Linked DNA regions of Struthio camelus. The protein of the gene in region 2 purifies or fractionates together with the protein of the main gene of each other region. This does not show direct contact. Links are inferred from orthologs where the notes say so. Each region holds a gene or a part of one and is shown on either strand. Other genes may lie near its edges.

Region 1 (6,699 bases), on a different chromosome or scaffold from region 2:
GCAGTTCATATAGCGAAAACCTGAGGATTTTGTGATGTAATGAAGGCTTATCTTGACAAAAGTCAACAGCAAGTAAACCTTGGGGAAGGAAAGGTCCCTTGGAGCGCCGGGCGAGTGGACTGTGTCGGACTCAGGCTACCTACCTCCAAGGGGTGGAAATTTATTGTGACCGCAGTTGAAGCGTCGGGCGGTTTGGGTAATGTTTACCCCCACACACACACCATCGCCATCCAGATTGGGGATTGCAACAGGATTAAGCCAATGCTATAGTACACGCCCGATGCCACAAGAGATACAGCAAGATAATTGGTCACATTTTAAAAAGAAAATAGCACAAGAGTGGTGTCTCAAGCATGGAGGTAAGTGGACTTTCCACTGACCCTATCGACCTCAGAGTAATGGTATAGTAGAAAGATGGAACGGGTTGTTTAAACAACAACTCAGATGGTGTAAGAGTGGCTCTAATTGGGGAAGAAACTTAGGGGAAAAACTTAGGTGCCTTGAGCACCTCAGCGAGGCATCCCGGAGAGAGGTGAGAATTCAGCACCGTGGCTGGGAAACGCGGGGCTACTCTGCAGCGCTTTCAAGGGAAAGTAGATCTACGGGAGTGAGACGAGTCACTACTGAGGCTGGGATGGGAGCCAAGACCTATGTCGTCTTGTTCCCCCCCAGGAGCTGCCGACCTCCCGGACAAAGGAACGGGAACCGTCGTTCAACCTGTCTACGACGGAAAGCGTCTGCGTAGCAAGTACGTGAACTGTCGCGTAGGGATGACGTCTAGAAGGGAAGCCACGGCCTAGCCTTGCAGCTACTGAATTATCCCGTTTTGCTACTTGCTGTGCCATTAACTTTGATTTTGCTGTGTCATCGCCACAGAGGATGTCACTAATATCTAAGAGGACCCCTCGTGTATCCGACAGTTCTGATCCTTACTTTAGGAAATCCAGGATATAGCGCATAAACGTGGATGCACTCTGCAATAATCCAGCAAACACACACATGCTGGTGACTTCTTCTGTGACATGGGGTATGAGGCCCAACATATCTACAACCCACCAGTGCAGTAGTAAAAAAGAAGGTTAAAACCACCTGACCAACCTTACCGTCCACTTAATTGTTAGTAGTCCCTATCCAAGGACCTGGACTCGGTCCGGAGAAACGGCTACATTATAGAGGGAGACAACGTCCCCAGTGTGACCACGATACTACTGAAGGAAGGGTCTATTACATTTGCCCTCTTGCACAACTGTACCCATGCAAAAATATCAGAGAATGCCATCAAAGGGTGGCAAGGCCTGCAGGGAACAGAGCCGCTAGGACTCGTTACGTGTGCCACTTACCGGTCAAGCTCGCGGCTCGTGTGCCACGGAGGGCAGCAATAGCAATTGCCCAAGAAGTTCCCAAAAGATTAGCGTTTTTTTTTGCCGCCCCTGAAGTACGGGAATTTTACATTAAGAGTTGATGAGACACTGTTAATATTAGTAAGGTATATTTAAATCGCTCACAATGGACAATACCCATATGTGAGCAATGATATGAGTCCTGTTGGAAAACTCGCACAGTTAAGGATCTTTCCAGTGGTTTGGGAGCTGCTGGATTGGGCACAGGAGTGTTGAATTCCATGGACTTAGAGATTGTTAATAATAAAATGCCTAAACTAGGACAATTAAGCAAACAAGTTATAATTGGCCAGACCACGGATACAGTCAGTGGAACGGACACAACCACTAAAACACTGGCTATTGGTCTAAGTCCCTGGAAAAAGCTCCAACAGATTTTGAAGGAGACGTGTACCACCGTTCCCTGTTTCGTCTCCAACACCAGCCATGCCACTGCTTGTGTTACCACGCAAACCTTCGTTATAAATGAACACGAACAATAAGCCAATTGGAGCCACAGAGGAAATCCTGCTGTGTGAGGGACCCCATCACCGTACTGGTGTCAGGACCGGAGACACCAATTTACCAAAACTGAATACTCAGGGGTAGGAAGCAAGAGATGTCTGCTGAGACGTCTGGATCCATTTATTACCGCACTGTGAGTAAGGAAATCAAAGAAAGACCAATTTACCAATATACCTCACTGCCCGTTACCGTAGCTAAGAGTGTATGGGCTCCAGTTCAAGGAAGCAAATAGACTACAAACGTAATCTAATCGATACTCGCGGATGTGAACAATGGGGAAAACATGACCTGTACCGCCCTGAACGTTCGGTATCGCAAGAGCTTTGTTCGAGTAAAACCTCCTCGGGTACCTGCTGTTTAGACTCCTGCGTATGATGACGGCACTGTTGTACTTAAGGGAAAACCGGGTTTTGCTCTGCGATGGTCTATGCAATAATGGGAATATAAATAATAAATAAATAAATGAATGAATAGAACCATCGCTCCTGCCCGAGATCGCCGATGCAACGTTACGGCACTGGAAAGCTGTGAACGACTTTGTGGAAAGCGTAAAGCTGACCTCACACCGATGCTGGCGGAGTACTGGCCTACGACGGGGCAGGACCCGTAGGACCGCTATGGGACTCGGCGTGTTCTCAGATTGAGAACTGGAAACTCTCATCACCAAACATGAGGGAGCTGCTGCTTATCAAAGAAGGGGTGACTCTTGCTATCAAACATGATGCTGGCTGGATTGTGAGGACTGAAACAGAAATCAAACTGCTGGGCGTCACTGGTAGCATATTTCCATGGGATGCGCACCATTTCCACGGGATGGCAGATTGCATCTTACGTTACATCCTACGATCATGGTATTGTTCTGCATTTTATTATTATGTCGTTATGTTCGTATAGCCGAGTCTGTCACTCACCTCACCGTGTTGAAGGCAGGTATGATCAGCTGGTACCTGGTAACAAACCGTGAAGTTACGTTTAGGCGAAAGCGCTCAAACCTTTCCCCTAGCCTGACCCCAGCAAGGCGTGAGGAGTAACAGCACCTCCGCTCGCCGAGGCGGCGGGTTTGCGAGTCCTTTGGTCTGTCCCAAGCCGGGGGAGCGACTCCTGCTCCGCTTTGGGACGAACGCGGGGCTCGTGCCGAGGCCGGGTGCCCGCGGGGCGCACCGAGAGCAACGCGGGCGCCAGGCGCTCAAGGACGTAAGGAGCCGGGTCTGCTCTCCCGGCGGCGGCGGCTTTATAAGTAACCGCCTGTTAACACCTGATAAGACCGAAACTCTTTGGAAGTAAGCGTATCTTGGCGGAGCGCCCGAAACGAGCGAGAGGTGCAGGGCGCAGGGCCGAGCCGGAAGGCACGGCCCCGTCGGCCGAGCAGGAGGGGCGAGCGCTCCCGCCGTCGGCCCGCTCTCTGTTCTGCTCGTCAGCGCACGAAGTAGCGAATTAGCGAGTTGTGAGATTAGGCTGGTCTGTAGCAGAGGGATTAAGCGCTTGTTTGATTTCTACTCAACGAGCTCCCGCAGCGCAGCGCGGCTCACGCACTACCGTCGTCCCGCGAGCGGAGCGATCACGGGGCGGGGAGCGACGGAGAAATGAGGCAACCGGGGGAAAAAACACCAAAAAAACACCAAAAAAAGGAAGAAATGGCCCCGCTCCACCCCCAAGGGAGCAATCCCCAGGGCCAGAAGCCTCAAGGGTCGGCACTAGCAGGAGGCGGGGGCGGCCGGGGGCTCCGGGCAGACCGGGCACCGGGCGGGCCGCAGGGACGGGCGCGGCGCCGCCCCGCGGGGGGAACCGGGCCGGGCCGGGCCGGCCGCCCTCTCCGACCAGGCCGCGCCGCCATGGCAACGCGGGGGCGGGGCATGCCGGGAGCGGCGGCCGCGCCGCGGTGCGCGCTGGGAGCTGTAGTTCTGGCGGCGGAGGCGGCGCGCTGCTGGCCGGGCGGCCGCGCGGGGGCCGCCGGGAGGTGTAGTCCGCGCCGGGCGGGCGCGCGGGGGCCGCCGGGAGCGGAAGTCCGCGCCGGGCGGGCGCGGTCGCGGGGGCCGCCGGGAGCGGCATGGCGGCGCTGGAGCTGCTGTCGGACGAGGGCTACCGGGCCGACGGGCGCCGCGCCGCCGAGCTGCGCAAGGTGCGCGCCCGCATGGGCGTCTTCGCGCAGGCCGACGGCTCGGCCTACATCGAGCAGGGCAACACCAAGGCGCTGGCCGTGGTGTACGGCCCCCACGAGGTGAGCGCCCGCCCGGGCCGCCGTCCCTCTGGGCCTGCCGCGACCCCTGGCCGGGTGTCCCCGCCGTCCCCTCTGTCCCCTCCATCCCGGCAGGCCCGGGCGGGTGGACTGTCCCCGCTGTCCCCGCTGTCCCCTCCATCCCCCCGGACCGGCAGGCCCAGGCAGGTGGACCGTCCCCGCTGTCCCCTCCATCCCGGCAGGCCCAGGCAGGTGGACTGTCCCCTCTGTCCCCTCCATCCCGGCAGGCCCAGGCAGGTGGACCGTCCCCACTGTCCCCTCTGTCCTCTCCATCCCGGCAGGCCCAGGCAGGTGGACTGTCCCTGCTGTCCCCTCTGTCCCCTCCATCCCCGTGGACCGTCCCTGGTATCCCCGCCGTCCCCTCTGTCCCCTCCATCCCGGCAGGCCCAGGCAGGTGGACTGTCCCCTCTGTCCCCTCCATCCCCCCGGACCGGCAGGCCCAGGCAGGTGGACCGTCCCCACTGTCCTCTCTGTCCCCTCCATCCCGGCAGGCCCAGGCAGGTGGACCGTCCCCGCTGTCCCCTCTGTCCCCTCCATCCCCGTGGACCGTCCCTGCTATCCCCGCCGTCCCCTCTGTCCCCTCCATCCCGGCAGGCCCAGGCAGGTGGACTGTCCCCGCTGTCCCCTCCATCCCCCCGGACCGGCAGGCCCAGGCAGGTGGACTGTCCCCACTGTCCCCTCTGTCCCCTCCATCCTGGCAGGCCCAGGCAGGTGGACCGTCCCCACTGTCCCCTCTGTCCCCTCCATCCCGGCAGGCCCAGGCAGGTGGACCGTCCCCGCTGTCCCCTCCATCCCCTCTTTCCCCTCCATCCCCCCGGACCGGCAGGCCCAGGCAGGTGGACTCTTCCTGCTGTGCCCTCTGTCCCCTCCATCATCTCCGTCCCCCTAGGGCCAGCAGGCCCAAGTGGCCAGGTTTGTCCTCTCTGTCCCCTCCTGTCTCCCCTCCGGGCCCAAGAGGGAGCCAGGCAGCTTGCTTTCCCCCACCCACATCCTACCCGCGGTCCCAAGCATCCCCTGTTCCCCCCCCGCCCCGCCCCAGCCAGAAGGGACCCAGGTGTCTGGGCCCCCTGGGGCTGGAGCCCACCCTGGCCCCTTTGCAGATGCGCGGCTCCCGCAGCAAGGCCCTGCACGACCGGGCGCTGGTGAACTGCCAGTACAGCATGGCCACCTTCAGCACCAGCGAGCGCAAGCGCCGGCCCCACGGCGACCGCAAGTCCAGCGAGATGACGCTGCACCTCAAGCAGACGTTCGAGGCCGCCATCCTCACGCAGCTCTACCCCCGCTCCCAGATCGACATCTACGTCCAGGCGAGCCCCGGGGCCGGCGGGGGAGGGACAGCCCCTCGGTGGGGGACAGGGGTGGACGGGGAGGGGACGGTCCGTCTGCGGGGCGGGCTGTGCCCTGCTCGCTCCGGGCCTCGGCCCCAGGGGTGCCGGGGGCTGGCTCCAGCGCTGAGCCTGCCCTGCCGCTCCCCCAGATCCTGCAGGCGGACGGGGGCAACTACTGCGCCTGCGTGAACGCCGCAACGCTGGCCGTCATCGACGCCGGCATCCCCATGCGGGACTACGTGTGCGCTAGCTCGGCCGGCTTCGTGGAGGACACCCCGCTGGCCGACCTCAGCTACATAGAGGAGGCGTCCGGGGGGCCGCAGGTGGCCCTGGCCCTGCTGCCCACGTCGGAGCAGATTGCCCTGCTGGAGATGAACTCGCGCCTGCACGAGGACCACCTGGAGGAGGTCATTGAGGCGGCCAGCAAGGCCTGCAAGGCCGTGCACGCCATCCTGGACCAGGTGGTGCGGGACCACGTGCAGGAGGTCACCGCGCTGCTGGGGGACTGAACCGGGCCGCCCCGGCCGCGCGTCCCCTCGGCGCCCTCGCGCTCCGGCTGCGCGGCGCGGCCGGGAGCGCCGCCACGGGCGGCTTTGCTGACGGTGTCGGTGGAGCCGGGGTCCGCGGGCCGCGGCTCGGCCCGGTGCCGGCAGGTCCCGCCCTGCGGAGTCCGTCCTCAATAAAGGGCTGCTCGGCCGCGGTCGGCGTCTCTTCCCTCGAGGGCGCTGGGGCGATGCTTGCGAGGCCCCTGGCGGGGGACCCCTCCTCCCTCGGCCGCGTCCCGCCATCCCGGACGGAGCCTGCCCGGCCCGGCCCGGCCCTGCCGGCGCCTGTTTCCCCTTCCCTGCTACCGTGGGAGCCCGGGTCCCGCCAGTCTGCGGACCGAGGCCTCGGGGAGGGACGCCCAGCGGCCCTGGGCACGGCAGGGCCCTGCGCTCGGCCGCCGCTCGCTCGTCTTGGGGGGGCAATCCCCGGGAACGCCGCAGCCCCACGGCCCGGCACGGCTGTGTGGTTCTGCGAGCCGTTGCTCGCACCCACCCCCAACACTGCACGGCCTGGCCGGGGGGGTGGGGGGTGTTGCTTCCCCCTTGCCCCCTTGCACAGCCTGGCCGGGGGGGCCATTGCTCTCCCCCTTGCAGGGCCTGGCCGGAGGGGGCTGCTGCACATGCACTCCCCCTTGCAGGGTTTGGCCGGGGGGGGGGCCGTTGCTCCCCCTTGCAGGGCCTGGTCA
Region 2 (7,036 bases):
CTCCTTCACAGCTGGGAGTAGGAGAGGGCATCTCTCACAGCCCATGACAGACTGCTGAGAGAGCAAACCTACACATCTGAGATACGTGAAACACCCCTTCTATTTCCATTTGCATCAGCTCAAGTGCCTGAGCTGACTGCCAATTTAAGCATCAACAATGTTAACCCATTTCACCAAACACGCTAGAGAAAGGAGAACTCTTCACAGCTTTACAGTAATAACCCTTATATTCTCACATCCCTAGGAGCTGGGACCTCCCTTTGAGTCTACAGAAAGCCTTTGAATAACCTTATCTGTCTGGGCTACACATTTATAGCAACACAATTCCCAGCAAGAGGCTAGTCTATCAGTAAATTTTATACACATACCTGTACAAAAATTGCTATGTGGCCATCAAAGCATACCTGTATAACGGCATGTGCACCGCTGCACAGGAATCTCATATCAACTAATTCTACCCCTCTCATTTAAAGCAGCACCACTCCTGTGTTTAGATAAGCCTGCAGGCTGACTGTTAACAAGCCAGTGGGGCACATCTGTACCTTGAGTGGTAGCAGAGGCTCTGACATACTTTTGGTCCCAGCTAGAATAGCCTTGGCTTGGGGGTAAGGCCCAGGAAGGCATCCCTAAACGCCTCTCACACACAGCTCCCGTGTCACTGAGCTTATTAAAAAAAGAAAAAATATATACCCCCCCCCCTTTCAGACTTTACAAAATGCCCACAGCAACATGAAACAAAAAATCCTGAAGTAAAAGCCAATACAGTGCCAGTGTCTCCTTTCCCATTTATATTTCTATTTGCATCCACGTGTACAAGTTAATGAAAGAAAAATTGATTTTTGTTTTCTGAGTCGGCCCAAAACATGTCAAAGCTTTCCAATTAAAATTGCAGTATCTACTTGAGGAAAATATGGGAATCTATCATGTGGAAAACCATACCGCTCATGGAAATTGGTTAGCCAGTCAGAAGTCTCAACAGGAGAAATTTTGTTACACGCACCCAATTAAATAATCATTTTACACTACATTTTAAAGATTATGTTCCTACAGATTACCACAGGGAATAACTAGATAAAAAAATGTGATCATATTTATCTACAATGTAAACACGCATGAATGAATTAAAAGATACCAATTGTGGTAGACACAGAACACGCAAGTCATTAGCTGAGTGTTTCCTGGATCAGTTTACCCGAATAATGGAACCTGGATCAAACGGTGCAAGAATCAGAAGCGTGAGCCACGCTGTGACACCACGAGGCAAGTCGTGGAGTCCGGCAATTAATGCAAGGGGCTTCAACAGCACTGCCACTGACCACACCACCTTCTGGGCCCAGTTCACTGGGAACCTGCCCTTAGAATGGTGACAATACCTGCAGAGGCAACTCTTACACGATTAATTAAAATACTGGTAAACAAGGAGATCTGTAGAAGGAAAATGCTAAATAAAAATGGGTTATGTATGGCCTTTGCAAAGCCTATTCATCTCTTCAAAGCGGACCTACTGCTCATACTAAACCAGCAATTGTCATGGCGCTGCACTCGCATGCCTGTTCTCCACAGCCTTTCAAGAGAGGCATCTGAAAACTGGCTGCCAAAATCTCCCGAGGCTTAATAAACTGGCAAAACCAGTAGCAGGAATTTCACTTAAAAAGAAAGTATCAAATGCAATCCAGGCAAAAGGAGTCCTCCTCTGCCACGCGCTGCTGGCTAACTAAGTGCATCATCTACTCGCTTTGAAAAATAAGGAACGTTATGTCTGGTTCCCTCTGCGCACCAATTTTAGTCTTTCGCTAGCAGAATCTGTTAATATTCCACCATCCCTCTGTAGCAGAGTCCATTTTACATGGAAGATAAACTCCTTTCCGCTGGCATCTTGCGAAAAATGGGAACTATGCTCTCAAATATACATGTGGGGAAAAAAAACACGCTTAGGTAAAACACCACAATCAAGAAGCCACAAGGGCTCAGCCACTTACAAATGTTTAATGAACTTAAAAAAAAAACAAAAAAACCCCAATTAATAGCAACTTGTACTGGTTGTTTTCCAGAAAAAGAGGGCCATCAATCACAGCGGGATGCACTCTGCTGAATTAGGGGCTGCGTTACACGATGTGAACCAGAAGCCACGGGCCGGCAAGCGGAGACTCGCTTCACATCAGCCTTGACACGAGGGTCACAACTCCAAGGGTAACGGGTAGCTCACTATTTTATTTTACTGATGGCCTTGGCGTTCATGGGTTGGCAGAAGGGAAGGGAAAGGTGGTTAAAACCCCACGTTCAATGCAAACTGACCGAAAAAAAAAAAAAAACCAGAACACACACACACACACACACACACAACCAAGCACAGAAGTATCAAGGGTAAAAGCTCCCTGAAATAAGGCAAGCAGTATTAACATAATAGAAAGGGAAGGGAAGAAGTCTAATCGTTTTTATTCACGACAAACGACCTGCTCGCAGAGAAACCGGAGGGCGAGAAGAGACGCTCCAGCGTTTTTCGGGGCTGCCCTCTTGCCGGAGGCAGATCTCCGCTGCCATCGGGAAGCTCCTCTCCTGCCCCAACCCCCCGAGCCCTCTCACCAGGGTTTCAAACACACGGGGGGCTGCGGGGGGGGGGGGGGCAGCATGGCCGGAGGGGATCTTTTTTAAAAATTTTGGGGGGATTTTTTTTTTTGGGGGGGGGGGGTGGAAATACACAAAGCGGGGGCAGCCCGGCCTAGCGGCAGCCGCTGATCCCTCCGGCCGCGGAGGGCGGCCCCGGCTCCGGTCCCGACCGGCTCTCAGCCGCCGCCGCCGGGGCCCAGCGCAACCCCCGCGCCCACCCGCCCCGTCCCCTCCGAGGGCCGCCGCCGCCTCACCTTCATGCGCAGCAGGTTCTTGGACAGCTTGGCCTTCACCTCGCCCGCCATGGCGGCCGCCGGGCCCGCGCCGCCAGCAGGCCGCGGCCGATCCCCGCCCTCGCCTAGCGCCGCCGCCGCCCTCGCAGGGGGGGAGGAGGAGGAGGAGGAGGAGGAGGAGGGCGGCGCCGCGGCTCCTCCCGCTCGGGGGCGGCTCCGGCGGCCTGGGGAACCGCCGCCCTGCTCTTGCTGAGGGGGCCGGCCGGAGCCTGAGCCCCTCTGCTTTTACTTAATAATCCCGAGGAAATAAGGTTGCTGCGTGGGTTGGGGGGGGGGGAGCGAGAGGCGAACGGGGCGGGAAGGGGCAGCGCCCCGCGGGCAGATGGCCGCAGCTGGGACTTGACCCTCCTTCCCGACGGCCTGCGAGGGGCTGGGGCCGCCTTCCCTAACCGCGCTCGACGCCCCGCGTACCCGGCCAACGGCCCGCTCCTGGGAAGGCCCCGTCTTCCCCAGCTGGTGCGAAAATAAGATTAAATAAAAGCGTCCTGGATCCTGGATTTCTTATTAGCGCTGCGTAGTGTAGAGTTTTGTCCATAATTTTCTGGTGTTTATAGGAAGGAAGGAGGGAGATTTTATATAAAGTTTGCTCATATTGGCGTTGAGAGACTGCGTGACCTGTTTAGGTTTCGTTTTTTAAAAGTAAGCGCTTTTACTTGAGGAAAAAAAAAAAAAGGCAAAATAGTCATGTGATTAAAACTGGGAAGCAACTGAATTGAGTTGTTATAAAAAACTTCAAATGATTGATTCATCCTGAATCACGATTTTGGAATCCGAGCTTGGCAGTTCTCCCTTTAGGCTACCAGGCTGGGCTCTGGACGCTCACGAAGAAATCCTTACGCCAAATTTCCTTTGGCATAATTTCAGTTGACTCCCAATTTTCGGGTGACTTCCAAAACACAAGCAGGTACCACAATTTCCATATACCTTCTGATAAATCAGGTTCCCGAGGCCTCTCTGGATGCTCAGTACATATAAACCAGGCAATAAACTAAGAAGAGTGAGGGTACACCGTGCAAAAGTGTAACGAACTGGGGTGCACAAAAAAACGAACTAGGAAAAAAAAATGCCATACATCCAAAATGTAGGTCAAAGTGAGCTTGAAGAACATATGTAAAGATTTATATTCTAATAGAGTTCACAAAAATGTATAACGAAGGGCAAAACCTGCCTGCGGTGGGAAAGGAGAAGGAAGAATTATCAAAATCCAGGCATCTTTATTACACAGTTAAGCTCCATAGGTTAAAATGATTGAAACACAGAGCCACAATCACTTTTAGGACAGTGATAAAACTGCATTTAAGTAAGTAATTCTCATATAGGTGGAGCACCCTCATTTCCAGGTCTGAAAATGAATTGAAAGTGCTTAAGTGTTTCTGAAATTCAAAGCCCCAGCAAGGAAGTCTCTTTGTGAGCGTGGCCCATAACTCCCACTTCATTTAGCCCCATCAGGTTTATACCTTCTTTTTTCACTTTCTCTTTAACATTCATCAGCTCTTTCCAACAAAAGAAAGCTGGGCAGTTGTTCTGAGTTTTACAAATACAAATATGCATCGAAGAATGAGTATATTTGTCTTTGTGAAAGACCGGAATAAACCAATATGGGAGAGCTATTAATTAATATAATGGCATAGTACATCCATTATCTTGCTATTTTGGGTGTTATTTTCAATTTGCCGTGTTGATCGTTGCTGTGCTTTTGAGCCCTGCGTTTAATTGCATGGCCTTCAGTGTCACTCAGGTCTTTTTTTCTGAACAGTTTCAGTTAATTTACAGTCCAGGAACGTACTTCAAGTGATTCCTTCTAAATACACTGCTGTGCATCTGTCAACACTTGTCCAGCTTTTGTGCTGCTGCTTTGCGGGGCTTTGTTTGAGGTCCTTCGTCACAACTTCCTTCCTGTTCTGCTGGTGTAGTGACTCATCTCATCCATTTTTGCAACCCATTTCTCCAGCAAACTTCTCTTACAACTTTGTTTTGGATGCCACCTCTTCACGTGTTGGTTGCCTGGTACCTTTGATGTTAAGGAGCGTGCTAGCACCAACCCTTTAATTTTTGGGAGCTGAGTCTAATAATTCACAATGTGTTCCTTGGCGAGTAGGAGCTCTGGGTCCGCGGCCACAGCCTGGATGCACCCCGTGACCTGATGGTGTCTCGGTGCAGGACCGCAGCCTTGCACGGAGACACGTGGCTTACGTCTGTCCTGTACGTTTGGACATCAGCTAACACAGCATGCCTGCCTCAGCATGTCCAAACCTGAAGGCAGAAGCGTTTGGCAGTAAATGTAGTACAGGCGCTGTGATGTTTATTTAGAGAAGTGGAGATCGTAAAAAGGCTGCCACAGGATTTGATGTATTTCAGCTGTAAAAAAGTCGGAAGGAAATTTTTGGATTACATCTCCCATCGCTTGAAGTGGATGGGGAGGTTATAGATAACAATCAGCTGTCTCACGGACTGGATTATACTGTCTGCTAAATCTGAAGACATGCCACTGATGAGAGCAGAAATCTCTATGATTTACTGGTTGAGGGGGGGGGGGTAGGTGAGAGTAGACTCTAGCCCTGAAAATATTCCTGCTTCTGAGATGGAGCAGAGTGAGGAGGCAAGTAGGGAAAGATGCTCGGTTTAGAGAAGACACCAGGGTCATCTGAAATGACAATCAGACACCTCTCGCAGCTCTGACAGCTCTATGGCAACTCTGCTTTCAGCCTGAAAATTCAGTTATTTTTCAAAACAAAAATGCTCAGGAAAATAACTCAAGGGAAAGATGCTCCAACTCATCAAAGACTGTATGTTAAACAAACAGATAAAAGATTTTTCTTCCTAGGAAATGCAGTCCCATCTCCCCCCAGTAATTACAGGAGTGGAATCAAAGTTGTCATTAACATTATTCAAACAGTTATCCTTTTTAGAACAATACAAATTACAGTTGTGTACTAGTTTCATGCCAATGGGCTCTAATCTGAGGTAACTCATAGGTTCCTTTTCCAGTAACCTTTCATTTCTTCATATTCTTGTGGTATTGTGATTCCAGGACAAAACAGGTCTCTCAAACCCTCTATCAATCGTCTAGATTTCTTATGAACGGTCTTTGAATATGAAGCACCATTTTACACGTCTCAAAATATTTGAAGCCATTTTTTCCCTGCAAAAATCAAAATCCTTATAGCATGACAGATGAGTCATTCATTTGTGTCGAACTCCTCTACTATATTTTAAGTGAGGCTATTATGTGTTGTTCTCTGTGAATGAGCAAGAGCAAACGAGAGGCAGAGCTACTGGAGATTTGTTTGCAAATCTGAAAGCATTGTGTGAGGTGCGGCGTGCTGTATCCAGCAGGATGGAATCAGAAATGCACTCCGTTTTGTACTCCGTGCTTTGGGCAGAAATAGTGTGAAATTCTCCAAGCGGTAGACACCCATGTTTTTGAAGTGCAGGACTGAGTTTTTATCTCTGTTGTTCCCATGAAGTTCTGAGCCACTAATGCATACAGCATATCGACAGCTCCGAAGGTCCTGGGTGACCAGGGATTTGTTACAATATTCATTAGCCTTTGATGCATGCATGTATAACCTGGCGGCCCGGGTACGTTGCTCAGTCTGCTTTGTACCTAATCCGCAGAGGATATGGGCTTGTTACAGCTCTCAGCCTCAGAGTAGCACGTCAGCTCAGAGCGTACTGACTCATCCTTCTAGTTTTTGAAGTCCCCTTTTTAAAATTTGGCATCGGTTTAGGTTACAGCATTGACATATGCAGAGTATTTTACATCCTCGGTGAACCCCAAGTTCTCCCTTGCTTGGGGAACTGTATGCAAAGCCTACAGCAGAAGCTAAGCTCATATAATTTGGGTACCACAGACCCACGTTGCTCATGTTTTCTCTTTAATAGCCTTGGGCAGTATCACAATTTATGCAGTGTGAAAAGGCATGACTTAAAACTGTACTTGCAGGAAAATGGAGTTACAAAACCTCCAGAACAGCAAAGAAATGTTTTTATCTGAAGAAAGTGCCTGTTGTCAGTTTGGGAAAAGACAATTCATTTTAAGTGCTTTTGACTGTCCCGATGGCAGGGTGACCTTTGTGTGAATAAATACAGTAATTCCTTTTTGATTACAAAAAGCAGCAGCTTCATAATGGTAG
Region 3 (7,959 bases), on a different chromosome or scaffold from region 2:
TCTCATTTCTGAATTACGTTCCTAACACTAGGGACCCGCAAGGGAAAAATACATCTTTTTTTTAATAAAGTGATTATGTTAGTGTTGCCCGGAGCAGCTGCTCCCCTGCGCGAGAGCGTTCGTCTTCCCCACTGTGGCCGCTTCTCACGGGAGGCTGCGAATAGCGTTTCCTGGCCCCTCACTCCAGCCGCCCCGACGCCTTTGATGGTGCAGGAAAGTAACAGAAACAACAGAAATACGATCAGCTCACAAACATGGGAGCAGCAGCGGTGCAAAAGGCTTTCCCTGACCCTGCTGATGCGTTTGAGCTGTTGCAGGAGCCTGCGCTTGGGTGCAGGCAGCGTCGCCCGCCTCGCCCCGCGTCTCCCGCAGCCGCCGAGCTCTCCTCCGCCCGCCCTGGGCTCACCCAGCCCTTTGCTGATGCAGCCGCGCTTCCACCCGAATGCAGGCACAACCTAGCTAAAACGATCCCTAGCAGGGTCGGGTGGGAGATGCTGCCCACGTCCTACAGCAAGCGGGTGCCAACTGCTCCTTTCGGGGCTGAAACGCTCCGCCGAGGCACCGAGTCGGGTTTCTGGGTCGTGGCTCCCTGCGTCGGTCTCTGTTGCTGCCGTCTCTCACTTGTCCCTCGCGGGGCTGCGTATTCCTCCGTGTCTCTGTGCGCACTGCCACGTCCTCGTCTCTCCAAGCAGCAGGGACCTCTCGGTCCTTTGCTCCGGTGACCCCGGCTCTGCCTGCGCGGTCTGTAGCTGCCCCTCCACCAGCCGCAGCGTTTGCCACCCAGGACGGGGGTGACCGAGGGGCAGGTTTGTGCCGGTGGTTTGCCTGTGTCATTGCCTTCAGGGCTCAGGGGGTGCTCGGGCACCTCTGGCAGGTCCCAGACACCAACAGACCTTGCGGGAGGCGAGGTGCGGTGAGCGTGGGTGCAAAGGGACGGGGCAAGGGTGCGTGGGGAGCCGTTCGCCGTCCCGCTGACGCTCCCATCTCTGTATCCCTCTCTCTAGATGATTCCTCCGGACCAAGAGCTGCTGGTCTGGTACGGAAACTCCCACAACACCTTCCTGGGCATCCCAGGCGTGCCGGGGCTGGAAGAGGAGCAGAAGAAGAACAAGCACGGTAGGTAACATCAGAAATGGCCACGGGTGCAGCTTCTGTGCCCATCCTCTGCCCCCGGCTCCCTTCGTCCCCGGGAGCAGGGGTGGGCATGGGGCAGGGACATCCCAGGGGACGCACGAGACCCTCCGGCTCCGTAGGGACGAACGCAGGGACCATCCAGCAGCAGAGCCCAGCCCCTGCGAAGGATCCATAAAGATTGGGCAGGTGCCTAGTAATTTGAGGGGCTCCGTGTGAACCGATTAGCCCAGGGCAACTAGTGGTCCGGTGGCCAGCAGCCCGCTGCCCCAGCCCGTGGGGAGCATATCTGTGCGGCAGGGACGGTTTCGGGGAGAGGAGCAGGGCAGGCGTGCAAACAGGAAGGAAGGAGCCCCAAGGCACCGGGAAACGCCAGGCGGACAAAGTCACCGATTTCCCTGCTCGGCACTCAACGCCGCAACCCCTTTTTCCCCCGAATCGCCCCGGCAGGAGGCCTTTCTCTCCCCGGGACCCTCTGGCTGGGGCGGCTCCCCGACGTGCCCCTGGGCGGGCGGGCGCAGAGCTCCCAGGGCGCTGCGGGGGACGCTGCTTTCGGAGCCGGGCCCCCTCCGCCCGCGGCCCTCCTCCCCGCTCGGCGCGAGCCCTGGCCAGAGCCCGGCAGAGCAGGGCAGAGAGCCGGGGGCGAAGCGGGCGCCAGCTCTCCCGGGGCGGGAGAAGAAAGAGTCTTTGGGAGCTGAGCAGCCCCGACTGCGGCTCCCGCGCTCGTCTGCCCCGGCTCTGCACGGAGAGGGAGGCGAACGGCGCCGCGGGCGCCCCTTCCGTGCGAGACAGGGGTCAGGCTGAGCAATCCCCTTCCCCAAATTTAAGGAGATCGTTCCCAGCTCTGGCCACATCCCAAAGCGGTAAATATCAGCCTGGAGTCGCGGGCGGGGGTCTCCGTTCATGGGGCCGCTGTGGCCGTCCCCAGCGGGCAGGTGGAGCGAGGGAGGAGGCGCGGGGTGGTTATTTCGGGCTCGGGAAGGGAGTGAACAGCCGGGGCGGAGGGCAGCACCTGACGGTCCCCGTCCGGCGCTCTGTCGTCCCCAGAGGACTTCCACGCGGTGGAGGCGGGCGCCAGCACGACGGGGCGCATGCGCTGCGTGATCTGCCACCGCGGCTTCAACTCCCGCAGCAACCTGCGCTCCCACATGCGCATCCACACCCTGGACAAGCCCTTCGTGTGCCGCTTCTGCAACCGCCGCTTCAGCCAGTCCTCCACCCTCCGCAACCACGTCCGCTTGCACACCGGCGAGCGCCCCTACAAGTGCCAGGTTTGCCAAAGTGCCTACTCCCAGCTCGCCGGGCTCCGGGCCCACCAGAAAAGCGCCCGCCACCGGCCCCCCAACGCCTCGCTGCAGGCCCACTCGCCAGCCCTGCCCGTGCCCCATCCCGCCTCCCTGGCCCACCACATCCCCACCATGGTGCTGTGAGCCGCCGGCGCAGCGGCGGGTTTGCGGACAGCCGGTGGCAAGGGGCCAAGCCCGGCGCTGAGACGCGCGGTGCGATGGGGGGTGTCGACCCTTGGCGGAGCTGGGGGGCAGAGGCAGGGCTGCTTTGGGTGCCGAACGGGCGCATTGGTTTATTTTTGGAGCAGCGCCGTCCGCGCAGGGTTTGGGGGGGCCGTTCGGTGAGCGAGAGATCCCCCCACCCGGCTCTGCAGGGTGCAGCCGCACCGGGCTTGGTGCTCCCCAGGGAGCAGGGCAGCGGGATGTCCCTTGTCCCTGGGAGCGGGCGAAGGGATCGTGCCTCCGAGGGGCAGAAAACAGCAGGATGTCTCCTGTGGATTGGCCAGTGCACTGGGGGAGGGCTGGGGCGGCCCAAAAGCTGAGCTGGGGTGAGTCACACCTGGGTTTCACAGTTGACTTGACAGAAAGAAAAATTGCTCTTATCCCTTCTCCTCCCTTGCTCCAGCGAGTGCCCAGCAGCGCCGCGTCCCCCCCTTTAGCGGCTGGCACAGCTCCATACAGGCCATTGCGTTGGTGCCCGTCTACCCCCGGGGGGGCAGCTGTGCCCCGGGGGGCTCTTCCCAAGGGAGAGATGGCCAAGCCCCAGCGCGGCCTCCGCGGGAGCCCTCCTTTAGCAGTCGGTCGCCTTGTCCCCGCCAGCCGCGCTCGGCCTCCTCGCCTGCCGCCCGCGCGCCGGGCGTCCCCGACGCCTCTGGACGGCGGCGTTGGAGGCAGAGGCCGTGGGGACATCCCCGGCTGGACGTGCCAGCTGGGAATGCCCCATCCGCGGGCAGGTCTTGGGGGGTCTCTCTGCGCTCTGCCAGGCTGTGCCTGCTCCAGCCCGGGGACCATCGCTCCCTGCAGCCTTTCGGGAACATTTAAATTTACTTCTACCGCCCTCTGGGGACAGAGAAAGCCCGTCCCTGGGCCAGCTCTGTCCCCAAGGACAACTCTAAGCGCCCTCTGGAGTCCTGCCACAAGCGAGAGCAGGGCTTTGTATCATAAAGTTTAAAAGAAGGTATTCTAATATTAATTATAAGTCTAAGATGTATAAAGTTCTCACAAACTGTGTTTTACTTCCAGAAAAGAAAACAATTGTCACTTTAACTTTGTAAATATTTATGTAAAACATTATTTACAAAACTTTGATATTATATATTATTTGATCGTATATGTACACAGTGTAAATACGTTTGTACCTCTCTCTTGTATTCTAAATAAAAATAACTTGGAACATTTATCATTTAGAAGACGGATGGTTTGGGGAGCTTTGTTTTGCTCTGTGGTCAGGGCGCGTGACGGTTTGGACGCGTACAAGGCGAATAAGGGGGCGTAGTTTCATCTACTAGAGCAAGCAGTGCTGCTGGGGAAGAGGAAAGAGAGCTTTGGGATGCAGAAACCCTTTTGCAGGTCTGCAAGAGAAGCGGCAACTTCAGCCTAAATCCAGACGGATGGCACTATTTGGTCCAGTATCTTCTCGTTTTATTTGAAGCAACAACTGTTGATGTCTTCCCTGAAATAATGGCCATGTTTCCTCTGTGCCGGGCTACAGATATAAGTCTTGCTCGAAAGAATAACGTTTGATCTTGGCCCAGAGGAAGAGACGCAGTCCTAAAGGTCATCACGGGCTTCTTTTCCCTTGGTATTTTCCCAGCAGCTCCGAGGGTCTAACCAATGAAGTGAATAAAACTTCCACGCAAGCAGGTGATTGACCGTTGCCGCAGCTTTGCCAAACTCCTCACCCCTCCAGGCCAGCCCGGGGGGGCTGGAGGAGCCCTTGTCGCCTGGTGGAAGATCACCGGGCCCGAGGGCGACTTCGGCAATGAGAGGCGCCGACTGTTTGGTTTTCTTTTTTAAAAATCTATGAGATGTGATTTTTTTTTTTTGGAGTAATGTTATGCAACCCTCCCCTGTCGCACGTACAACCCGGCAGCGAGATGGGGGCAACTCAGCCCCTCAGCAGGGCCCTTCGGCTCGGGGGGCCGGGGCCGCCGGCGGGAGGAGAGGTCTGCGGCCACCCCAGCTGGGGGCTGGCGGCCCCACGCTCAGCCCTTGACCCCACAGCTCTCCCCGAGGACAGCTCCTGCTGCGGGGTGGGGGCGCCCGGCTGCGGGGCAGCCTTCCCCGCTCAGCCCCACAGCCTGCCCCTTAAGGTGGAGGAGGCGGGCAGCCACCTTTCCCGCACCAAACATGGCCCCCCTTCTCTCCCTTTGGATCCCAACGCGGTGAAGCCCACGCCGTCTTTTTCTGCCAGCAACCAAAATGGCCGCCCAACACGAAGCCGCTACTGCCGCCGACGGCCGCCCGCGGCCCTCAGCCAAGATGGCGGCGCCCTGGCCTCACGCGCGCTCTTGCCAGCAACCAGCATGGCGGGCGGAAGGCGCGTGTGGGAAGCGGGCGCCGGCGCGGCGCGGCGTTGCCCGCAGCCAACATGGCGGCGATAGCGATGCGGCTGCCGGTGGCCCGCAAGGCGGTGAGGCAGAGCGCGGCGCGGGGCGGCGAGAAGCACCTGGTGGCGCCGGGGGACATCATCACCACGGACACGGGCTACATGAGGTGGGGGCAGCCGGCCGGGCCGGGCGGGGGCTGTCGGCCCCGCTCGCTGAGGGCAGCGGCGCTCCGGGGGCTCTGGCGGCTGACTCCCCCCCGGCTGAGGGCCGCTCTCTCCGCAGGGGCCACGGCACCTACGTGGGCGAGGAGAAGCTCATCGCCTCGGTGGCCGGAGCCGTGGAGAGGGTGAACAAGCTGGTGTACGTCAAAGCGCTGAAGACCAGGTGCGAGCGGCCGGCGGGCCTCGTCGCGCGCGTGGCCCCCAAGGCGCCGCCAAGACAGGATTGCCCTAACGCGCGCTCTCTTGCTCCCAGGTACAACGGTGAAGTTGGCGACATCGTGGTGGGGAGGATCACTGAGGTAAAGCTCACAGAGGGTCCCGGCTGCTCTTCCCCGTTAGTGACTCCGGTTTTTCCTGACGCGCTGTTAAGTGGGAATTAAGTCTTGGCTCATATTTGAAGGGCAAGAGTGCTGCTGATGAGGAGGACGGTCCACCAGACTGAGGTATCTCTGTCTGTTCCAGAGCGTTTCTGAGGCTCCTAAAAGCACATTAGTATTTGTGCTTTTCAGCACTTGCCATCGTGCATTAGGACAACTAAGTGCTTTGCAGGGTTGGAGTTGGCGCGTCTGAGCTCTTCCCGTCTGCGGGATGCTGGAAAAGACTAAGAACTGAGGAGAAAATACATGGTTTTAATTACGGACCATTAACCAATTAAATGTTAATATTATTAACATTTGGGATTTTAAAAAAGATGAGGCTAAAAGTAGGCTACAGTGCTGTCTCAGCTCTCGCCTCTCTCTGTGTCAGTGCTTGTACAGTGTGAGCTCGCTGATACGAGCACCCATCGTGGGATGGGCCGTTCAGTTCAATCACCGTGCGTGGCTTGTTGGTCTGCAGCTTGCCTCGTGCTGGGCTGCTGGCTTGAGTGGCAGCAGGACCTCCCTCTCTGGTGAAGAGCTTTTGTTCATTTTGTGAGCATATATCAACAGAGTTTTTTCTTTTGCAGGTTCAGCAGAAACGATGGAAAGTGGAAACCAACTCCAGGCTAGATTCAGTCTTGTTGCTGTCATCTATGAATTTACCTGGTGGGGAACTGGTGAGTGCAATTGATGTAGAGCAGTGCCAGAGCCTCTCTTGTTCTGCTTTTACAGCAGAAGCTGAGGGCTGTGCACCGAGAAGCTGGGAGGCTCTGGAGCCCTTCCCACGGTTAGCACAGGGGTAGTATTGGTGTTTCTGCCTGTAGGTGCATCGGTAGTGCTCTGGTATCTTTATTTAACTCTTAGTGTTATTTGGACAGTGACCTAAATACCAGAACCTCGTTTTTCTTTGCTGCCAAGATTGTGTTTTGCGTGCCATCCTAAGGAGGTGGTCCCCTCGGTGTGGGAATCACTTGACGTTTTTCCATCCTGGGCCACGTGTAATTTTTCTCCCATTCTGCTTTTCAGAGAAGGAGATCTGCAGAAGATGAGCTTGCAATGAGGGACTATTTGCAGGAAGGAGACCTCATCAGCGTATCCTTCCACTGCTTGCATTCAGGCAGAAGACCCAAGGGGCATGGGTGAGAATGGCTAGACCTTAGCTAGCCAGACTGATAATGAGAGTTCTCTGCCTTTGGGCAGTGAGCAGCCAACTCCTGTTGGCACTGAGTAGCATTAGGGAGCTTGTTTCCTTAAGTGGCATTGACAGGCAGAAGTCCAGTCTGTATTTTCTGATGGGGCTGTGTCACTGCACACCCGAAGTCTGAAATACGGGAAGGTAAGTTGCTCAAAAGCACTTAGTTTTGGCTTAATTCTGCTCCAGTTGACTTGTAAGGGAGTGTCTACGCTGCTGCTGAGTATGGTTTAGACTTCCAAACCTGCAATGGATTGGAGCTTGAAGCAGATCAGAGCTCTTTCTGGGATGTCATCTCCCTGCTGCAAGAAATGGGATGTGAGAAGGGCAGGGAGGAGAGAGAAGGTCCCTTTGGAGAGTGCTCTGATGAAGGATAATACGTAGCCCGTCAGACAGTTCCTCCTAGGTTGGTGGTCCTGCGGCTGAAGGCCAGGCCCTTCCTAAATACAGCACAACTCCACCCAAGTCAGTAGAATTTCTTTGGCTTTATATCAGAGTAGCAGCAGGATTAGGCCTTTTGTGAGAGGTTGCTCTGTGTGTGTGTGTTTGTGTGTGTGTGTGTGTGTGTGTGTTTTGTTTTGTTTTTTTTAAGAGAAAAAGCTCTGGGGTAAAGCAGGGTGTTGTTAGAACCCATCCCTACAAGTTAGGAAGGATCGTAGCCCCCACATGGGAAAACAGATTGGAGTTCCCCAGTGCAAAGGGAATACCCTTGAGCTGCCCTTTGAACCACAGCCCTCCTTGTCCACAACTACAGGCTGCGAGTCCTGTTTCCCCCACTAACCCTTTGGGAATTGAACCCTGAGGAGAAAAAACTTCTGGCTCAAACTTGCTAACTCCTCTTCTGCAGGCCATTGCCTTTATAACTTGTTTCTCTCCCCAGGGCTCTATTTTAGGCTTTATGCAGTTGGCATTTATCTCTGGTTTTGCGCATTGTAATAAGCCAAGGGGCCGTTGGAGCGTAGGCTGCAGTTTGGGATTACCGGACCAAAGGTATTAGCGCTTAAAAGATGAAAGCGAAATGTGCTTATTGCACAAAGGGTGAAGGACAGCTATTGGATTAAAAGGGAAAGCGTTCTGCTAAATTGGGCCTCTCACTCTTCATTTTTCTGCAGGGATGGTTGATGTGTAGTTACGATCAAGATATTATTAACATTTGTGCTAAGAACTCAGAGTATTCTTCATCTTCAAAGGGCTGCACAGACATTAGCTAATTCTCCCAGC
Region 4 (7,649 bases), on a different chromosome or scaffold from region 2:
AAGGTATAATCCTTTTTCTCTTGGCACTTCTCCCCACGTGTCTTTCACTCTTCCTCCCTGCTCCACGCACTACTCTCCAGCTTAGTAACAGGCTAAAGCGCTATACGACTGCAAAAACTTGGGAAAGAGCAAGGGAAGAGGGGGGAGAGGACGAGAAAAAAAGTACAGAACCACAGAATCACAGAATGGTTGAGGTTGGAAGGAACTTCTGGAGATCATCTAGTCCAACCCCCCTGCTCAAGCAGGGTCCTCTAGAGCACATTGCCCAGGATTGTGTCCAGGCGGGTTTTGAATATCTCCAGGGAAGGAGACTCCACAGCCTCTCTGGGCAACCAGGTCCAGCGCTCTGTCACCCTCCCAGTCAAGAAGTTTTTCCTCATGTCCAGATGGACCTTCCTGTGTTTCAGTCTGTGCCCGTTGCCTCTTGTCCTATCGCTGGGCACCACGGAGAAGAGACTGGCCCCATCCTCTTGACACTCTCCCTTCAGATACTTGTACACATTGATCAGATCACCTCTCAGTCTTCTCTTCTCCAGGCTGAACAGGCCCAGCTCTCTCAGCCTTTCTTCAGAGGAGAGATGCCCCAGACCCCTCATCATCTTTGTAGCCCTTTGTTGGACTCCCTCCAGTAGCTCCATGTCTCTCTTGTACTGAGCAGCCCAGAACTGGACACAGTTCTCCAGGTGGGGCCTCCCCAGGGCTGAGGAGAGGGGCAGGATCACCTCCCTCGACCTGCTGGCAACGCTCTGCCTAATGCACCCCAGCATACCGTTGGCCTTCTTGGCCACAAGGGCACACTGCTGGCTCATGGTCAACTTGTTGTCCACCAGGACCCCCAGGTCCTTCTCGGCAGAGCTACTTTCCAGCAGGGTCAGCCCCCAGCCTGTCCTGGTGCATGGGGTTATTCCTCCCCAGGTGCAGGACCTTGCACTTGCCTTTGTTGAACTTCATGAGGTTCCTCTCTGCCCACCTCTCCAGCCTGTCCAGGTCCCTCTGAATGGCAACACAGCCCTCTGGTGTGTTAGCCTCTCCTCCCAGTTTAGTATCATCAGCAAACTTGCTGAGGGTGCACTCTGTCCCTTCCTCCAGGTCATTGAGGAATACATTGAACAAGACTGGACCCAGGACTGACCCCTGGGGGACACCACTAGCCACAGGCCTCCAACTTGACTCTGCGCCATTCACCACAACCCTCTGAGCTCGGCCATCCAGCCAGTTCTCAATCCACCTCACTGTCCACTCATCTCGCCCACACTTCCTGAGCTTACCTAGGAGGATGTGATGGGAGACAGTGTCAAAAGCCTTGCTCAAGTCCAGGGAGACAACATCCACTGCTCTGCCCTCATCTACCCAGCCAGTCATTCCGTCATAGAAGGCTATCAGATTGGTCAAGCATGATTTCCCTTGGGTGAATCCATGCTGACTACCCCTGATCACCTTCCTGTCCTCCACATGCTTAGTGAGGACCTCCAGGATGAGCTGTTCCATCACCTTTCCAGGGATGGAGGTGAGGCTGACTCATCTGTAGTTCCCTGGGTCCTCCTTCTTGCCCTTTTTGAAGACTGGCGTGACATTGGCTTTCTTCCAGTCCTCAGGCACCTCTCCTGATCTCCAGGACCTTTCCAAGAGGATGGAGAGTGGCCTAGCGATAACATCCGCCAGCTCCCTCAGCACTCGTGGACGTATCCCATCGGGATCCATGGATTTATGGATGTCAAGTTTGGACAAAAGATCTCTAACCCGATTCTCCTCAACCAAGGGAGAGTCTTCCTTTCTCCAGCCTTCCTCTCTTGTCCCCAGGGTCTGGAATTCCCGAGGACTGGCCTTAGCAGTGAAGACTGAAGCAAAGAAGGCATTCAGCAACTCTGCCTTCTCTGTATCCTTCGTCACCAGGGCACCCGCCCCATTCAGCAGCGGGCCCATGTTTTCCCTAGTCTTCCTTTTGCTATTGATGTATTTGAAGAAGCCCTTCTTGTTGTCCTTGACATCCCTTGCCAGATTTAATTCCAACTGGGCCTTAGCCTTCCTTGTCGCATCCCTGCACACTCTGACAACGTCCCTGTATTCCTCCCAAGTGGCCTGTCCCCTTTTCCACATTCTGTACACTTCCTTCTTCTTTTTGAGTTTTGCCAGACAACCATGTCCTGCTGCCAATCTTCTCCCTGCTCTGATGGTCTGCTCTCCGTATGTTTAGTGACAGCTCTGGTAGAGTGACACAAATGGGTGATTATCCCAGAGCTTTCTCTCCTAGACCCAAGATAATGGAAAGCTTCCCCCCACCCACAAAATCTACACTGTAACTCATTTCCCCACAAATGATTAGTGAGCTACAGGGCTGAAAACATTGTTGATATCACAGAAGTAAACAATAAAGAGCCTGAAACATCAGATTATACTAGTGAGGCTTTCATGCATAATAAGCATTCCCCAGCTTGCATTCCACAGTGAGCACACCTGTCAGGATGATTACTGCAGTACACTCTGCTGAAAATTTGTATTTTCAGTAACACCTGCACAGTTTCCTTAAGCAGACTATCACACATAAGTCATAACAATAAAAAGCCCCTCGACAACGTAGCCCCATCTCTACCCAGGCTTTCTTTCCCAGCATAAACAAACCACCCCCCGGAGAAAAAGGGAAGGGAGAAACAAGGCAGGACACCTACAGCCTGCCGCTGTCCCGGAGCGCCCCGCACGCCCGCTCACGCAGACCAGGCCTGGAGTGGGGGGGGACGGACGGTCCTGCCCTCGCCCCTCACCGGGCAGCGCTACCACCGGCCACCCTCCCCGCCGCCGCTACCTGAACGCCGTGCACGATGTACAGCTTCTCCGCCTCGCTCAGCACCACCGACGCCATCGCTCCCGCCGCCGCGGACGCCGCGCGCTTCCGCTTCCGCCGCGGCCGTTGCGGGCGGAAGCGAGGGAGCGCGCGCGCCGCTCCGCTCCGCTCCCACGTGACGCCGGGGAGCGCGGCCGCCGTCGGAGCGGGGAGGCGGGCGCCGCGCCTGCGCACTGCCTTCGGCGCGCGCCCCGGCCGTTGGGGCGGCTGGGCCGCCGTCGTGGCCCCGTGGCAGGCCGTGCGCGCCCCTGATGGCGGGGACTTTGCGCCGCCCCGCCTGCCTCCCCCTCGCCCCGCTTGCCTGCAGGCAAGGTCGGGAGCGCAGTCGTTATTTTTTCCTCGGAAGCTTTTCCTGGGGGACAGGCGATGGGGGGCGTTTCTCCCGGCTTTAGGCGCCTGTCTCGTTGGGGTGCAGTGAGCTCCAGCCCCACCTGGGCAGTCGCGGGCACTGCTCTGGACACGGTGCCTGCTGAGCAGCCAGTGCGCCGGAAAATTTCCCGTCCGAGAAGCTCAAATTCGTCATAGGCCAAGGGGGTTGTTCATCGTTCTCTGCCTGCCCTTTGCCAAGGTAAAAGTTACTCATAGAAGCTGTGAAAATACACGAGCGTTTGGGAAGGGCCTGCACAGTGATAAGTACCCTAAGAAGAATGAGAAAATAAACAGGTTTTTTTACCTCGGAGAAGGGTCTGCGTGAGCTGCAGCATGCTGGGCAGGTTGGTGCAGGAGCGGGGAAAAAACAAGGCGTTCTCATTAGGAGAGTGCTCTTGGTTCTGTGCCATATATCCCTGGGAAAGTAGTATGGGAAATGCAATTAAAAACCCATACTATATATTAACCCAATAATTAAATTAAGGGGTTTTGACAGCCCTAATTGAGTGTTTCATAACAACAAGTGGTTAATGTTGTAAGTTGCATGTTCTTAGCACAGCTCTTGTGTATAGTTTTTGAATTATTTTTAATATTGCTATCTGGCAATATTAAATATCTTCACATTGACATATCTGTCAATATCTTCATGTTGACAGATAGCTGGGTAAAAAAGACCCGTGGCTTACAAGGATGACTAGTGACTTGCATGACACGCTACAAAGCCAGAGCTTCTGTAGAAGTTTCCTGTGCTCTTTCCCTAAACTCCTTGGTCAGTCAGATGTGCGAAGCGTTTCTGGCTGTGCCTACTTCAGCAGGCAATCTGAAGCATGCAATGGCAGCTATCCTGTAGTGAAGCACATTTTGGGAATTTTACTTTGGATTAGCTCTGGTCTGGTCCCTTTAGTGGGCTGAACGTTCATTTAGCATAGTAGGTACATTTCTAGAATGCTTCCCATTGCTTATCTGCATCCAGAAAGAATCACGTTCCTGCATGCCACGGTTATTTAGTTGGGATTACTGATCACTTTTGAGCAGAAAGGGTCAGCAGTGGGGTCTCACTCAGGGAAGTTTGGAGGCTGCTGGGTGGGTGTAGTGCATCATTGCTCTGCATGCATGGGGGTTGGAAGACGGGGGCATGAGGGATGGGGGAGCCCCATGTCAGGGGGCCCCGGGCACCATGGCAAATTTGGCACTGGCAGCCTTGCGTCTGGAAGATCTTCATTAGTCTCTAAGGTTGTGGGGCTCCAGGGCCCCATGGATGCTGGCCCAGGAAGTTGGGTCCTGGCAGACAGGGACAGGGGGGTGAGTCAGCCATCCCAGGGCAGGGGCTCTTGGGAAGCAGGGAGAGGAGGGAGCGCCAGGGTTGCCTCTGTGCTTTACTCAGGGCCTGCCTGTCGGGGCTCATCCTCTCCTTGCTTGGACCCAGGGCCACAAGCTCCTCCAGGATGGCGAGCAGGCACCCAGTCTTTTCATTTTTAGCAAAATAGCAGGAGGGGGGCAAGACAGGGAGGAAAGAGGCAGCAGTAGGCCTGTGGCAGTAGGCGGTGTTGTGGGTACATTGCCCTGTTCCTGAGCACCCTCCCCCTGACCCTGAGGAGATGAGCAGGGCCAGGCCTCCTCCTGGGGCTGGTCCCTGCCAACAGCTGTGAGGCTGGGGAGTAGGAGGGAAAGGGAATGACCCTGAAGAAAAGGGGCCAGGCTCACGTGCTCTTCCTAAATAGCATCTGCTAATGCTGCTGTCCAACACAGATGGACCTTTTGTGTCACCCAGCAGTGCATTTCTTACATTGTAGTACTTGACAGTGTAAACCACACTACAGTAAGGGGAAGTGATTGAGAGAGTCCCTTCAAAAAGTGAATTCCTGTTCTGAACTAAAGGGCTAACGCAGATGCATCCTGTGCTTTCTGTTGGGAGCACAGGGAAGACTGTATGCTGGCTCCTAGCTCTGTCTTTCTCTTGGCTTCATCCACAGCAGCTGACTGCAGTAGCAAGGAAACTGCTTTTTCTTCCCCTCTGCCATCCCAGCTTGGAGTCTGCCTAAAGTGAGTCAAATACTTGCATAGTTCAGATGCCTAGCTAGCAAATCTTCCTTGTTCACATGAGAACAGCAATTTTCCAGAGGCGTAAGTCTGTATCTGGTTTGTTTTTCTCAGGGATGGCAAAAGGCATCTGCTTGACATGAAGGCCACATCCTAGTACACTTGAATACCCTTATCCAAGGCAAAGCAACAACGAAGGTATATCAGAGAAAAAGGCTGCCAGATTTGTTAACAAGGGCAAAGCAATGTCTTTTTCTCTAACCTCATTATGGTAAATGGATGACATGTGTTGGCTGAAATGGAAAAATTAAATCTGCCTGAGGGAACCACCTGGAATGTAAAAATTCACACTGCATGATTAATGCTTGGTGAAGTTGTAAACATCGGAAACAGTGGCTTAAAATGGAGAGTGTCAAGCAAACTTAACAACTGCCCTATCTATAACAAGCAGGTGCCTGGGAGTGATTACACCTGCAGTTATATGCTCTGTCCTGTTTGATGTTTCAGTGTTTTGGACATTTGCAAACCATCTGTCTTGTGCTCAAGAGTGAACATGGAAGTGCATCAGTTGTGACATACATATGCATGTATATACATGCTTACCCTTCAGCATACAGACAGTGGATATCGCACAGAAGCATATGACGAAGAAACGTTAGCACCCCCACTCTTGTATGTCCAGCATGACTCCTGACGTGCCCGGTATTGCGGGATCAGAGGGCAGCCCCTATCCTGAAGCCTTACAAGCCCACAAGGCTGGTGGGAGGGTGCGCAAGGCAGAAGCAGGAGCCTTGTTCTGGCTGCTGTGTACGTTGGTGCCCTTCATTTTTCAGTACTTTTTTATTATACAAGAAGTGGGGTTTTTTTCCTTACACAAACCATTTTTTATTCCGTATACAAAATGTATTTGTCTTCCAAGACCTGCATTTTCCTTCTGAAAAACGTATTTTTCCTTCTAACAAACATACTTCTTATATAGACGGTCTTTTTTCCCCCCTTGCTAAAACCTGTTTTTTTCCTCACGAGCCCCGCATTTTTCCCTCCCCAGGGCCGCCCGCCCGGGCCAGCAGCGGGCGGAGGGGCCGAGCCCGGCGGCCGGGGCCCGCGCGTGGGCCGGGGCGCCCGGCGGGGGGGAGGGGGCTGCGCCCTGCCGGGCGGCGCCGCTCACTTCCTGGTTCCTCCCGGCCGCCCGCCCCACCTCCTCGCCGAGCCAGCGTAAGGGGCGGCGGGGGAGGGCAGCGCCGCGCCGGGTCGGGGGGGGGGGGGGCAGCGCGCCGCCGGCTCCTGGCGGCCGATGGGGCGTCGCGCCGGGGGCGCGTTGGCCCGCGCGGCGTTGGCGGCGTGCGCTCGGGCGCGCGCGGCGTGGGGGCGGCGGGGCGCGCGCCGGACCGGCGGCGGCGGCGGCCTGTGGGGTAGGTGGTGGGGAGTGGCAGCGGGGGCCGCGCCCGCGTGGGCGGGTGTGGGCTGGTGGGGGGGCGTGTGTGAGGCCCCGCCGCCGAGGGGGGGGCCGCCCGTTGCCGCGGTGGGGCCCGGGCAGGCCGGCAGGGCCAGCCGGGGGCCGCCCTGTGCCCGCGCTGCGCCAGGGGCAGGGGCAGGGGCAGGGGCGAGGGCTCGGCGCGGGTGGCGTCCCGAGAGGTTGTTTACTGGAGCCGTTCGCCTCGGTCGCGAGATGGGAACGCGTCGGGCGGTTTCACGCTCGCCTTGCTCAGGAGAAATCCTGCGCTGTGCCCACTCGCTGGGCTCCTGTCTGCATTGCACTGGCTTGCAGCGTTTTGTTTTAAAGAACGTTAGCTTCAGTATGTTGTTTAGGTCCGCTTCAGTGCTTGCGTTACTAAAGGCTAGCGTTCGGGGCTGCGTAATGTCTCTTCGGCAGGAAATTTAAATTCTGAGGCCTCAGCAGTTTCATCGGGGTCTTACGATCCGCTAGTGAGCTGTAGCGATGAAACGCGGTTATTGGTGCGGTATCGAAGGGAGCAGCCAGACAGCTAAACAGAAGTGCTGACTTCAAAGGTGGCTCTGCATGTCACCTGAGGTTTCACTGCGGCTTTGCAATGGGATCGGAGGACAGTGATGCACTTCAAGGCTGGGAGTAAGCTGTGCTGAAACTAGGATGCTATGCTCTGGCTGCTTTAGTTGAAATGGACAGTGAGTTGTATTTTAATTGTAAATCTGTTGTTAAACAACAACTTCTGAATATTTCTGGAGTACTTCTCAAAAGTAATTTTTAAAAACAGTATGACCTTTTAGGAAACCTTAAGCTTTGAGAAAGCATACGAATGGAGGAGGCAAAATTCTGGTCTTTTACGTGCTCTCCCTCTGACTGTGTGCCAGGAAGGGATGCCTGGTGGACACCAGAACTCTGTAGCATGTTTTCCTTTGCTCCAGATTCAGAAAAGATAAA

What was found.
Region 1: the proteins of MPHOSPH6 (region 2) and EXOSC4 purify together in Homo sapiens (affinity purification with mass spectrometry; 7 studies listed by BioGRID and IntAct, with this or other methods). This does not show direct contact. The link is inferred for Struthio camelus from reciprocal best matches to the Homo sapiens genes MPHOSPH6 and EXOSC4.
Region 3: the proteins of MPHOSPH6 (region 2) and EXOSC2 purify together in Homo sapiens (affinity purification with mass spectrometry; 8 studies listed by BioGRID and IntAct, with this or other methods). This does not show direct contact. The link is inferred for Struthio camelus from reciprocal best matches to the Homo sapiens genes MPHOSPH6 and EXOSC2.
Region 4: the proteins of MPHOSPH6 (region 2) and EXOSC7 purify together in Homo sapiens (affinity purification with mass spectrometry; 4 studies listed by BioGRID and IntAct, counting the BioPlex papers as one, with this or other methods). This does not show direct contact. The link is inferred for Struthio camelus from reciprocal best matches to the Homo sapiens genes MPHOSPH6 and EXOSC7.

Annotation. Positions count from the first base shown.
Region 1 is NC_090943.1:173,041,265-173,047,963, reverse strand, and holds EXOSC4 (exosome complex component RRP41), read left to right. Parts: upstream 1-3,895; 5' UTR 3,896-3,951; coding exon 3,952-4,122; intron 4,123-5,240; coding exon 5,241-5,447; intron 5,448-5,617; coding exon 5,618-5,977; 3' UTR 5,978-6,187; downstream 6,188-6,699. UniProt on the Homo sapiens protein: Non-catalytic component of the RNA exosome complex which has 3'->5' exoribonuclease activity and participates in a multitude of cellular RNA processing and degradation events.
Region 2 is NC_090951.1:5,796,013-5,803,048, reverse strand, and holds the start of MPHOSPH6 (M-phase phosphoprotein 6), read right to left. Parts: upstream 3,011-7,036; 5' UTR 2,913-3,010; coding exon 2,862-2,912; intron 1-2,861. UniProt on the Homo sapiens protein: RNA-binding protein that associates with the RNA exosome complex. Involved in the 3'-processing of the 7S pre-RNA to the mature 5.8S rRNA and play a role in recruiting the RNA exosome complex to pre-rRNA; this function may include C1D.
Region 3 is NC_090961.1:6,313,786-6,321,744, reverse strand, and holds the start of EXOSC2 (exosome complex component RRP4), read left to right. Parts: upstream 1-4,945; 5' UTR 4,946-5,007; coding exon 5,008-5,132; intron 5,133-5,248; coding exon 5,249-5,350; intron 5,351-5,440; coding exon 5,441-5,486; intron 5,487-6,133; coding exon 6,134-6,223; intron 6,224-6,572; coding exon 6,573-6,638; intron 6,639-6,813; coding exon 6,814-6,882; intron 6,883-7,959. Other genes in the region: PRDM12 (PR domain zinc finger protein 12), read left to right, coding at 1,005-1,116, 2,179-2,561. UniProt on the Homo sapiens protein: Non-catalytic component of the RNA exosome complex which has 3'->5' exoribonuclease activity and participates in a multitude of cellular RNA processing and degradation events.
Region 4 is NC_090943.1:50,965,421-50,973,069, forward strand, and holds the start of EXOSC7 (exosome complex component RRP42), read right to left. Parts: upstream 3,009-7,649; 5' UTR 2,858-3,008; coding exon 2,801-2,857; intron 1-2,800. UniProt on the Homo sapiens protein: Non-catalytic component of the RNA exosome complex which has 3'->5' exoribonuclease activity and participates in a multitude of cellular RNA processing and degradation events.